2 linked regions of the Canis lupus familiaris genome follow. The protein of the gene in region 1 purifies or fractionates together with the protein of each later gene. This does not show direct contact. Links are inferred from orthologs where the notes say so. Each region holds a gene or a part of one and is shown on either strand. Other genes may lie near its edges.

Evidence for each region. The genes of interacting proteins can lie anywhere in the genome.
Region 2: the proteins of RMDN3 (region 1) and VAPB purify together in Homo sapiens (affinity purification with mass spectrometry; 4 studies listed by BioGRID and IntAct, counting the BioPlex papers as one, with this or other methods). This does not show direct contact. The link is inferred for Canis lupus familiaris from reciprocal best matches to the Homo sapiens genes RMDN3 and VAPB.

The regions. Positions count from the first base shown.
Region 1 is NC_049251.1:8,178,397-8,185,006, forward strand, and holds the start of RMDN3 (regulator of microtubule dynamics protein 3), read right to left. Parts: upstream 3,551-6,610; 5' UTR 3,410-3,550; intron 3,066-3,409; 5' UTR 3,059-3,065; coding exon 2,872-3,058; intron 1,056-2,871; coding exon 863-1,055; intron 431-862; coding exon 287-430; intron 1-286.
Region 2 is NC_049245.1:43,974,787-43,980,788, reverse strand, and holds part of VAPB (vesicle-associated membrane protein-associated protein B/C), read right to left. Parts: intron 4,658-6,002; coding exon 4,481-4,657; intron 1,702-4,480; coding exon 1,543-1,701; 3' UTR 1-1,542. UniProt on the Homo sapiens protein: Endoplasmic reticulum (ER)-anchored protein that mediates the formation of contact sites between the ER and endosomes via interaction with FFAT motif-containing proteins such as STARD3 or WDR44.

The sequences.
Region 1 (6,610 bases):
CTTTTAAAAAAAATAGTCAAATAAGAATTACAGTAACTGTGTTAAAAACCTACTCAGAGGAAAGGACAGATGCAACAATAAGCACTGTTAACATTTCATTTGCCTGGGTGACATAAGGTGGATGGTTTTTCTTATTTAACCAATTCCCTATTTTATTCATTTATACCTTTACCATGTTCCCAAAATTATTTATAGCAGCTCAGTGTGAATTTTCCATAGGTAAATAGTACTTTTACAAAACATAACCTAGTTGAAGCCACAAGTGCTTAAAAGAGAAATGACTCACCCGCCTTCGCTCTCGGCATCTGTGAACGTGGCTCCAGAGGTGGCCGTGAAGTAGACAGAGCTGGACCCAGTTGAGTCACTCCTCTCCCGGGCAAATGGGAACCTTCGCCGCCGAGCCACTCTTTGGGTCTCTTCCATATGAGATCTGAAAGGCAGGCCCCTTTGGAGATGGTGCTATTGGGCCCCAGACAGTCTGTCTTTCCCCTCCCCATGAGGGAACGTCTTACTACTATTGCTCATTAAAGGGCCGAAGCCAGAGAAAATCCTGGGTTTCTACCCTCAGGAGAACAAGAAAGGCTTCTCCCTGGACCCAGCCTGCAGCGGCAGACCAGGTAAATCAGAACAAAGCATTTCAGCTGCTACAACAGACCATAAGAGCCCAAAAGCGGCAAGGAACTTATGGAAGGCAAGGTACCAAGCACACAGCTTCCCTGCCGATTGTGTGAGAAGTTATAGAACTGGCTTCTTCCTTAGACACAGCAACAAAGGCCAGGGCACAGCCCAGTTGAAAAAGCTCTAGGGGCTGGGAAAAGTTGGTGGGCAGGAACAAGGCAGGACAGAGGGCTGCATCACTTACCGGACCTCCCCAACAATCTGCCCAGCAAGCCCCTGCAGGCTGCTCCTCAGCTCCTCTACCTCCCGCCGCAGGGCCACCAGGCTGGTCAGCACAAAGTCCAGGCGGTCCAGCACCTCCTCCTGCCCTTCTCGTGGAAGGCTGAGCAGCACTGCAGCATCTCCCGCTTCCCCTGGGACTGCTCGGAGAAGCCTCACTGCAGGAAGGAGAGCAGACAGTGATGCTCCTGAGGCAGGGTGAGGGAAAGACCTTGGACCTGGAATTTAAGAACACTTGCTTCTCACTGGAGCTCAATTTACAAAAACCCTTGAGGCTCAGATAGTTTATGTTCACAGCTACGTCCTGGTAGTAAGTCTCGAGTAACTACTCAAAGAAAAAAATCAAGATCCCAATTTCTAAACAAGAGCCCACTCTGTTCCAAGAACCTTCCACATTGGGGTCTTTAGCAGGTAATGTAAAATGCTTGCCAAGAGCACTGCCCTGTAAGAGGAAAACAAACCCTTGGCCTGCCGGGATAGTTCCCAGATACCAGGCAGTCAGTACTAACTATACAGCAAAACTAAAGGGAATTTACTCAAATTCTGAGCTTTCACTTCACAAAGAAGAGCCAGGAAAACTCTGAGCTCCTCCCAGGGACTTCATTTAGTATCATTCGAGAAAGGCAAGGAGAAAGCAGACACTTAGAGAAAAGGTATGCTGAGAAAAGCCCATCCACTCCCCATAGGAAAAACACCATTCCTGAGCCCTCATCTGAGCTCCGGGTCAATTCCAACAATAAATGCTAATAAACTGGTAGCTACCCAAGGCAACTCTACTGGAAAATGTAAAAATAAAGAAACCAGGAAGGCAGGACCCACAGTCCAGGGAAGCACAAATGCGTTCAAGGAAATCTAGTTAAGGGTCTAGGTTGGATTACAGTACACACCCAACATTATTCAAGAATGTAGAGCAAGAAAGATCTCTGGGGGGCCTGGCTGGCTCAGTTGGTAGAGCACGCGACTCTTGATCGTGGGGTCGTGAGTTTGGGCTCCATGTCAGGTATAGAGATCACTTAAACGAAACTTAAAAAAAAGAAATCTCTGGGAACTTGGCCCACATTTTCCAAACATCTACTGCCAAGAAATTACAAACCACAAGGAAAAGGAAAGACAAGCACATTTACTAGGTTACCAGTAGGTTATAAAATGTGGACAAACAGTTGCAATCTAAATTGATAGCTCTTTGGAGACTCTTCTAAAGCTAACTTTTCCAACCCATCTGGCATTTGGTAATCAGAGAAAACACTCATTCCCAATTAACGTGGGATGAGGTGACCGCAATGCTCCTCTATTACACACACCTGAGAGTGGTTTGAACCAGCCCTAGATACCTTGCTCAAATGACTTAAGGTCAAAGTGACAAAAGCACTACCTATTTCAGCTGTGGCTGGCTTCCAGCAACAGTAAGCTTCTACTGTATATGCACCCCACATCCATGCCCTGGAAGTCCACAGGACCAGGTGACCAGGCCCAATCCTACCACTTAATGGCTCTGTGACAACCTGGGTAAAGTTACATAATCTTTTTGAATCTCGATTTTCTCCTAAAAAGGATTAAAAAAAAAAAAACAAAACCAAAACAAAACTTGGATAGTCTCCAAGTTCCTTTCAAATTCCAACACATAATTGAACACGTAAGCCTTAAGGCTTAATTCCCCTGAGGTTAGTTTTCCCTTTTGCCTTATTTTGGACTTTCTCTACTTATTAAACACCTCACCCAACACTAAGTACCTTTAAAACGTGGCCTGAACTAAAAGTGACAGCTAAACAGCCTTTTCACAAGCCTTTTCCTGCAATTATAGGAAAAAGTACAGAAGAGGAAGACTGCTTGCCTTTTCAGTAAGCTTTACAAAAAGGTGAAACCCTCAGGTACCCACCCCCCTCCGTTTCCTGTCCCACAGGCTCTTCTCAAGGCAGCCCGGACCCTAGGCCTATCCGTCAGCCATGACTTTGGTCTCAGGAGACTGGCTCGTACCCTGGCGTCCTGGCTCTGAGGTCTGCGCGTAGTCCAGGGAATTAGGGAGGCTCTGGTTGTGGCCGTGGCGCTGGCTCCGTTTCCACCGCTGGCTGTAAAGGGCACACAGGAATCCAAGGCCCGCGGCGGTGCCCAGCAACAGTCCCAGCCCGGCCTGGGCGCCGCCCAGGACCCCCAGTCTAGACATGCTGCACCTGCAGCCGCGCGAGGCACCGGGGCCAGGGGGAGAGAGACTCGTGAGCGCGCTCCTCCCAGCCCCAAGCTCCCGAGGCCCCGACTACCCTCACCCCAATCCCGGCCCGGAGGTTGCCGCCAGACCCCGGTGCCCGACTGCCGGGCCTCTCTCCCAACCTGGACGCAGCCTCCCCTCCAGCACACCCGCCGCCCTCCTCTCAGAGTCAGGTTTCTGGGCCTCCTAACTCCCTCCCCCAACCCCACGGCTCTGCACACGGCCCCCCCGGCCCCGGCTGCAAGCCCTGGGCCACCTCCCGCGCCCCCGGAGGACGCCCTGGCCGGGCAGGTCGACTCAGACCCTTACCCGGCCGCCCCCAGCCCGGGTAGCAGCCACCGCGGCCGCCGCCGCACGCTGTCAATGACCGTGACGTCATCGAGCGGCGCCAGCAGCCCGGCGCGCCCTTAGGTAGGCGCGGAGAGATGACCTGCAAGGCCCCATTTCCGCCCACGCTCTTGCCGAGGGGCGGTGCCGGCAGGGAGCGGGAGAGGGGAACCGAGGAACGGGAAAGGGAGGTGGGGAGGAGGAGCCGGGGAGACCAGGTCGGAGGCTCCCGCAGCACCTTGTCTGGCCAGATGAGGTTCCATTTCCCTCCAGTCACACCAGTTTTTCTGCAGTTCCCGAATGTCTGTCTCCGTTTGCGTCTACCGTCGCCTGTGCCTAGACCAACGCGTGATCGATCTGGACAACCCCACCTGCTCCCCACCTTTCCTTGACACACTGTCAGAACTCAGACTTTATTTGATTTCGACTTGATTTATTTGTGCATTTTTACTCGACTCGATTACTGAGCACAAGATAGTGGCCCGTTTGGCACTTCAGATTGCAGCAGGTGAATTGGTGGTTACCTGCTCGAGATCCCCGACTCGAGGGCCAGCTCCTGCCGGTTGGCGCTTAAAAATTCATAAAATAGATGCAAACCCCAGCACTAAAAAAAACCTTAAACCTTGCATGATCTGTAGCACCTTAATCAAGAACAGGGTTAAAAATTGGTTTTCTGGGTTGCCGGCTCAGTGGTTGAGTGTCTTTGGCCCAGGCCGTGATCCCAGGGTCCTTGGATGGAGTCCCCCGGGGGCTCCCCTCAGAGAGCCCGCTTCTCCCTCCGCCTCTGCCTCTGCCTCTGTGTGTGTCTCATGAATAAATAAATAAAATCTAAAAAAAAAAAAATTGGTTTCCATTTCCAAAATGTAAATGAGATTCATTCTTCTAATGATAACACCTTTTAAACATTTGGCTGAAACTTGAGTTGATCTCTGCTTAAATTGACTCAGAAACCATTTCATTTTTTTAAAAAAATCTGTATTCTTCAGGAGTTCTGTGTCCATTGTGAAAATTAATAAAGGGAAACCACTAAAGTGGACACAGGCTGCTAGAAAGGAAGGCTGGAAGGGGCAACTATACCACTTAATGTCAATTACAGGAAGAATTGTCAATTACAGACCCCTAAAAGAAGAATCTCAACAGAAGAGAATCATAAAAAAAAAAAAAGAAGAAGAAGAAGAGAATCATAAGTTACAGGCTCCCACAGAAAAAGATGTACATTGCATCTCCTGCAATAAATGGGCTACCCTGCCCCTACAAACCCGCCAATGAGAAACCATCATCACCCTAAACTCTTGCTTCTCTTCAATAGATTGGTGTTCAAAACAATTCCTCCCAAATTCTTTCTTTTCCATAAAATAACATTCCTCTTCTTTGTTGAACTTGCCTACGGTTTTGTTGCAGGTTCATTGTCCTGGATTGCAAACCTCTGCTATTCCTAAATAAATCTATGTTTTTGCTGGTAAAATAACTTGACAGTTTTAAGTTTTTATTTTTAGGGACGCCTGGGTGGCTCAGCGGTTGAGCATCTGCCTTCCGCTCAGCGCGTGATCCTGAGGTCCAGGATCGAATCCTGCTTTGGGCTCCTTGCAGGGAGCCTGATTCTCCCTCTGCCTCTCTTCTGTGTCTAATGAATGGATAAATAAAATCTTCTTTAAAAAGTTTTTATTTTTATTTTATATTAACATCACCATGGCCCATTGATTTTTATAATTCCACTTTACTTTTGAGATTTTATGTAACTTCTTATATTTTTAAAAACTGAAAATACAGGAGTACAATTCCAGTTTTACCATCAGCATTTCTTTCAAGTTAAAATTTTGTTTAGACACAGCTGAAACATCTAAGAGTCCTTCTCAAATCCTTGACTAGATATTCTATTTACTTTTTAATTGTGAGATATTTTACAAATAAGAGAGTACGTTTAATATAATGTACACTGTAACGAACAAGAACAATTTAAAGACAAGGTTCCCACCCCACAGCTTAAGGAATAGAAATTTACCAAGACCGCCTATTAATTTTTAAGGATTTAGTTCAGTTGGTATATCCTGAAATACACTATAATTGTCTTGCTGGTGAGAAAAGAGTGTTTTTTATAGACTTTTCCCATAATTTTTCTCATTTTTTCAGAGATAAGCATGTGTTTCTTTAGTAATAAGAAAAAATATTAACTTTTAGAGAGAATAAAAAGCCATTTCCTTTGGAGAATCTTCCCAGACTACCACCTTAGTGGACTTAATCTTTTGTTTTTCTTTATTCCTGGGGCTTCGTTACCTCCATTACATTTGGTGCCATGATTATTTGCTTTCTAGTCTGGCTACCCAACTGGAGTGTTCACTCTTCCAGGATGGGGTTCGTGCTCAATTCATCTCCACATCCCCTGAGCTCCAATGCAGACGCCACCCATAGAAGCTGAATGTGGAGGAAGAAAGGAAAGAAAGAATAACCAATATCCAGGCCTGGCCACTTAGATAATGCTTTCATGATGAAAAACTGAGTTGTAGAAGAACAATTTCTCCTCTTTCTGCAGGGGAGAAAGATCTGCCAGATAAATTGTGGCAAGAGGCAAGGCCAGATGGGCAGACCAAGCGGGGGAATTCATTTCCCCCTGGATATTAAAGATGTTATCTGGTGGGCATGTGGCTGCCAGAGCAGTCAGCAGCGGGGTGGGTGATTCTGGATGGAGCGAGCTCTCTATCTTGTGTGGCATCTGCAGACCAGTTTTGCAAATGTAATAAAGCCCTGGGAGCCCGAGATATGCACTGCCTTCCTGTCTCCTCCTCCTCACCCCATCCTGACCAGAGAGAGGAAAGCAGAGCAGACCCCAAATTCCTGTTCTCATCTCTGCCCCAAACAGCCAGAGATCTGCCCACGTGGCTCTTCCAAGAGAGGCAACATAGTCAAATGCCTCAGACCGTGGCTCCCCCCGCCCCCCAGCGTCTAACTACTAAGGTAATTGACACTTAAACAATTGTTCTTATTAAATATTTAATGGCTAAAAAAATTATACATATAATACAATAAAGATTGTGGACATGTATAATAACCCTTAGCACCCAGGTCCTACTGTGAGAAAGAGAACATCGCTTTTGCCTTGTAAGACTCCTGAATGGCTGTCCCTGCCTGGTTTGTTTTACTTCTCTCAGAGGTAAACACTGCCCTGAATATTACATTTATCATTCC
Region 2 (6,002 bases), on another chromosome or scaffold:
CCAATAGTACACACACACACACACACACACACACACTTCAAATCATTAAACATATATATTTCTCATTGAATTGATAGGGCTCATTTTAAAACCAACCTTCCAATAACAAAATAATATTGAGGATCATAAGGATAATAATTTCCCCCCTATAGCAAGTGTGACAAAATGACAAAAGAACTCTTAATTCTGGGGCTTTATTTTAATTTTTTTTCTTTTTAAGATGCTACATAGTCAAACAGAATTGGATTGGTCTTTTATGGCATAAAATTAATTTACAGTCAAACTCTCAATCACTACTTGACGATTATCTGGAGCCTCTCACCCCTCTCCCGCCCCCACCCAGCTGGTTCCCTGTCTGCTACCATTCTGCTGCCTCATTCCAAGCAAGGGCCACATGGGAAAGGTCAGGACCAGACTTGGGGCACATGTGCTGGAAGAATGAGTGGCGGCTGAGGGGTAATGAGGGAAAAAAACAAGATCAGCTAGTCTTCTCCAGTTAGAAAGGGTAACAGAGTTGACTGTTGCTACTAAGGACTTCCCTCTCTTTGACAGTTGTTATTTATTTACACAGTGAAACACTTCTGGCAGCTGTTCTACAACATTCCAATAAACCACACCTCCAAGCTTACATAGAGCCCAGAACCTCGAGAGAGAGAGAGAGAGAGAGAGAGAGAGAGAGAGAGAGAGAGAGGAGCCCACAGCTCTCCAGCAGCAGTGCCAGCGTCACCCACTGGCATTAGGTAGCACAGGTGATTTTTAGGCCACAGCATTAATTATAATCTTGTGGCAATAAGGAAACATGAGATGAGATACATTAAATAAGTTAAATATGCATTAAACATCTCTGAATAACAATTCAATCTCACTACATGAACCAACAGTAATTTAGCTTGGTCCCTTTAAGAGAACAAAGCATTGACTTTCATTTCCAAAGTGTTGGGTCAGTCCACCTCCTGCTGCCTCCCACTGCCTCTCGCTCCTGATGGGCAGATCTGACACTGCCACAGCACAATGCCATTGGCTTCTGACCCTGTTCATCAGTCCCAAGGAACCGACAGCTGGGGACAGAACGTGGAGCAGCAGCCCAGAGAGTGAGTGAGTGGGTGGGGCTTGCTATGTGGAGGTGACGGCCCTCCCCACCGCACTGGGTTCCAGCTCCCCAAGGCCCGGCACCAACAGGCAGGAAGAGTGTCTTGTTCTAAGAGAAGTAATCAACCCAGCCACATGTACCAAGGCTACACATGTTTAAAATGACACGACATGCCATTACGATTTAATCACGGTTTCCCTTGTCATTAATAAAGACCATTCTTTTCCCCCAATCATTTACTATACATTTTTAACTCTCTAAAGGATTGTTACGTTATAATTGTGTGTGTGTATGTGCACGCGTGCGCACGCGCAGGGAGGGAGTAATTTAAAGGCAAGACCTGTGAGATGTCATCATACATGAACTTCTTTTTTACACATGGTTATGATAAAGTCAAAGCCCAGGGGATGGCGGGCCCATCAATCCAGTGTGCCGCCCTGTGCCCACTGCCTCTACAAGGCGATCTTCCCTATGATCACACCGACGATGAAGAACAAAACCACGAGGGCGAGGAGCCGGGCGCTGAGGCCCTCCTCCTTCCCAGCTGGAGCTAACACAGGCACAGGGCTGTTGCTCTGAGCTGTCTTCCTCATCCGGAGTCCATCTTCCTCCTACGGGAGCAAAGGCACATTTCAAAGACAACCCAAGGCACCAGAAGCAAAAGTCAACTGTCAGTTCAACAGGATGGGCCTTTAAAAAACACACTTGAATCACATGGTGTGGGCCAGCCTCCTCATTTTTCAAAGGGAGAAACTGAATCCCACAGAGAAGGCACTGGGTTGAGGTCACTCAGAATATATTGCCAGAAACCCCTCTTTCCTTCCACCCACCTACACAATGCTGCTAGGCACCTTTTTATACCATACATCTAAGTACCTTGGTTCCCCAGGACTTACAGAAAAAAGCCTCTGAAAGGCTCAGCCAGTCTCTTCTGCCCCCAGGAGCCATCTACCTCTCTGGCCATGCCTCCGGGCCACCCTTCTACATCGGACTCCAACCCTCTCTGTCTTCCCTCCCTCTACGGAGCAGGCTTCCCTAACCAAGTCATCCAGTTTTGAAATGATAGGCATTTCTCAAAGCACAAATATAAAAATCACAAGAAACTACACTGTGCAGCAGCTTTCAAATGCAGAACTCTGTATTGATGAGTTACATGTAGACTGCTGGACAGAAAACATGATATTTGGAATATTAAAATGTGACTGAATCTCATATATGCAGCTCAGATATTTTTCTACTTAATGCATGGAATAGAAACTTTTTCTTCCTTTACTCCCAAGGCCAACTCCACACCCCTCAACAGGGCATGCAGCAAGGCCTCTGTACTTGGGCTCAGGTGCATCTCTGGCTAATTACCCCAACTACTCATCCCCAAACCTGTCCGTCCTGGAGACAACAGGCAGGCCATTGTGCTGACTCTCCACAGCACTTGTGGCCATCTCTGTGGGGCCACTCATCATTCAGCTCATCAGTACTTTTGTCCCCAGCTACCCTGGTCAGCAGGGAGCTCCTCAGTGGCAGGGACAGCTTGTATTTGTGCCCACAGTGCTAGTACATGGGAGGGGCTCAGAAAATGTGTTGGCCAAATGAAAGAATGAAACAACACAAAACAAGAAATCAGTATTTGGCAGGATAAAGAATCTTCTAATGTCAAGATTGGTCTGATAATATTTTAAAGATATTCTGCTCATGGGGCATGGCCAATATCGCTGCACAGTGATAAATGACTGGTGTTATTCGATTAACTTCAAAAAAAAATGGGCACAGCAAAATACAGCATTTATTTTATTGGGTTTATACAGAAGCTATTTCTACCTATTTATCACTTTAAACGGCACAGGACTCTGTTTCTGAAGAGAAATACACTCAAGGAGAAGCTTTAGGCATATCTTAGATTTTTAGTCAAAAAGTAAAGTGTCAGCTTCATAATTTACACCATACTAAAAGAAGTTACTGAACGAGGCAAATCAAGATTACTGCAAAAAAAAGAAGATGATGCCATTCTCCAGACACTGTCAGGTCTCCTGTATCTATAACACTGTCAGAATAAAAGAAGGAGAAGTCAACTGAATGGAATGTATTTATTACATGTGTCTAGTGCTATGGTGGTTAAAGAGCAAAAGCCTAGGGCATGGGTGAGTGGCATGATCGAGAAGTGAACAGACCAGCCTCATATTTAAGCTGCAACAGACGTTCCTATGACCAGATGCTCAGAACCATTCTCTTCAAGACCATGTCTGAAATAGACATACTTTTAAGGCTGGACGGCGCCTCAGACAGGTTTTGTGAGTCGAGGCCCAGGAGATGCTGTGACCATCACAGATCCAGAGCTAGTCAAGTGTGAGCAGTCACTGGCATAACACCGTAGGCCAACAAGGCCAAATGAAGTGCACCCTACTTTCCTTTACTGCCCAGTTCAACCTGACCCTCTTAACACCCATGCCAACTACCTCTTCAACAGCCACAAGCTGGAGACCCGGGTTTCTCCTTCTATAATCTCCACCTGTCTACTGTGACAACTTCCCATCTCCAATCTCATCACCATGTGAACCAATCTGAGGAGATCCTACTGCCCAGACCCACCTAGAATCTTCAAAAACCAGAATTATGCCTATGTTAAAAGAGTACAGGTATTTACCTATTTACCCTCCTAAAGAAAAGATTCTCACCTACTGGGGATATAGTAGGGTTTGACACTGTGAATTCAGGATAACCACTGCAGTTTTGTGTTTAGTCTCAGAATTTATCTTCAGTTTACACTAATGTGAAGGCAAGAGGAGCTCTTACAAGAGGACAAGAGTCTGCAGGCTGAGGCCGGAGAATGGAACCACTGTGAGCTCAGGGCACAAAGCCTGGGTTCAAGTCTCACTGCAAGTACGACCTCAGGCAAGTCACTTAACCTCTGCTCCTCAGTCTCCTCACCTGCACACTGGGGATGGTAACAATCCCTACTCACAGAAAGGTTTAGAGGATGAAATACATTATTACAACATATCAAATACAAGGGAACAAGAATTTAAATAGTTGAAAAGCTTCTCCTCAGACACTGGTTAACTTGAGGGGTGGGAGTGGGGTGGCAGGAGGGAATCAGAGCTCTTTTGAGAACCTGATGAAAGCCACAGAAATTTCTCCCTAGGGGAAGAATGTGTAAATACAAAACAACTCTACAAATTCAGGGATTTGTCAACTCCCCCACTCAAGATCAGAGTGTTAAAAAGTCCCTGTTTTTTATAGATTATCAAGAAATAAAACACTATTGGAGTGCTCAGTTGATAGAGCGTGTGACTCTTGATCTCAGGGTTGTGAGTTCAAGCCCCATGTTGGATGGAGAGATTACTTAAAAAAATAAAATCTTAAAAAAGAAAAGAAAAGAAAAGAAAATGCCATTACCTTGAATTGCTTGTTTTCCTCCCGGAGCCTCTGCACTTCACCCTGCAGCCTCTTACACTCTTCCATCACCTTCTTAACTTCAGTGTCATCCAAAGAAGAACTCAGAGCTTTAGACACCGTTGGTGTTTCTGTCTTTGATGCAGTTGTGGGTATAATTTTATTTATTTCTACATCATGCTGTTCAGAAATAAATGAAAGCGCAAGTGTCACCAACTATGTAATAAAGGACTTTTTTATGCAAAGTAAAGTAGTTCTCGGCAAACACCACACGTGGTAGCGTTTCATCCACACTGTAAAATGTCACATTTATTTTAAAAATGGATCACTTTATCTAGTATCTTAATAATCTAAAGCAACTGGGCCCCAGAAATTATGGATAAGGACAAATAATGAAGTTCGGCTGAGACTAATACTTCAAAGGAAAAGAAAAAAGCCTGTGCATATTGCACGATCAAATTCCTGCCATGTAAAAATTAGCATATCGTAATCGTGCAAGCTCAGGAGTTATTAGCAACAAATTACTGTCACCAGGAAGACCTCAACATCCCCAGGACAGGCTGGGATGGGGGAGGTGGGAGGCCAGGGAGAATGTTATACAGAGGGCGATTTATTTCATGAACTCAGAACTTCGAAGCTGGGTTGAAGGTGAAACTAGCGAGGGAAGCTACACATCCTCTACTTCCCCACCGAGACCATTACGACAGCCTCTGGAGAGTGCCTGGGGAGGAGACACTACCAGGGAAGGCATGGAAGTGGTCAGATGTGCTGGCCATCACTGCCCTGCAGGTTCCATGCAGCACACTGAACACGACTGGCTCTCCCTATTGCACTCTCTCTAGTATGACTCTTCCATCTTCCAGGTGAGAAGAGGAGAGCCCTGCCAACAGCAAGGCTCCCATCTACAAAGCTGGTACAGCAGAGAGCCAGGAGCAGAGCACAGGTCTCACAGCTTCCCAAATCAACCTTCCTGGGACAAAATATGCATTGGGAATAGTCAAAACCAACAACAACAAAAATCCCATTACCCGTTCAAAGAAACAGGCTAATGATGGTGGTCAGTCATTGAGCAGGAAGAAAATACAGTAGCCGTGGCAAAATCAACAGCGTTCTGGAGATCACTATGGACAATGCTAACAGAATGTGAGCATTTTGATTTCCCAACTCCAGCTATTAACAGCCAGGGCAGTGGAATGTTCTACAGGGTGTTTTTAATACAAATTAAGCTTTTTCCGACTAAGTGGAAGGAAGGTCCAAATTAGCATTTCAGATACAGTCTTCTCTCTTCAACTGGTCATGAGCAAGGGCCATGACAGGCCTGCCCCTTGGTTTCATGGAGAAAAGCGAGCTGACAGCTTGGAGGCAGCTAGTCCTTTCTCTTACGACATATGCCTTAATGCTAATAACTTAGGCAGCACAGGGGGTGACTCAATGGACAGTGCTTCTGCCCCCACCAGCGCACAATGGGCAAGTGTCTGGAGACCATTTTAGTTGTCACCCAAGAGGAGTAATCACCTCACTAGTA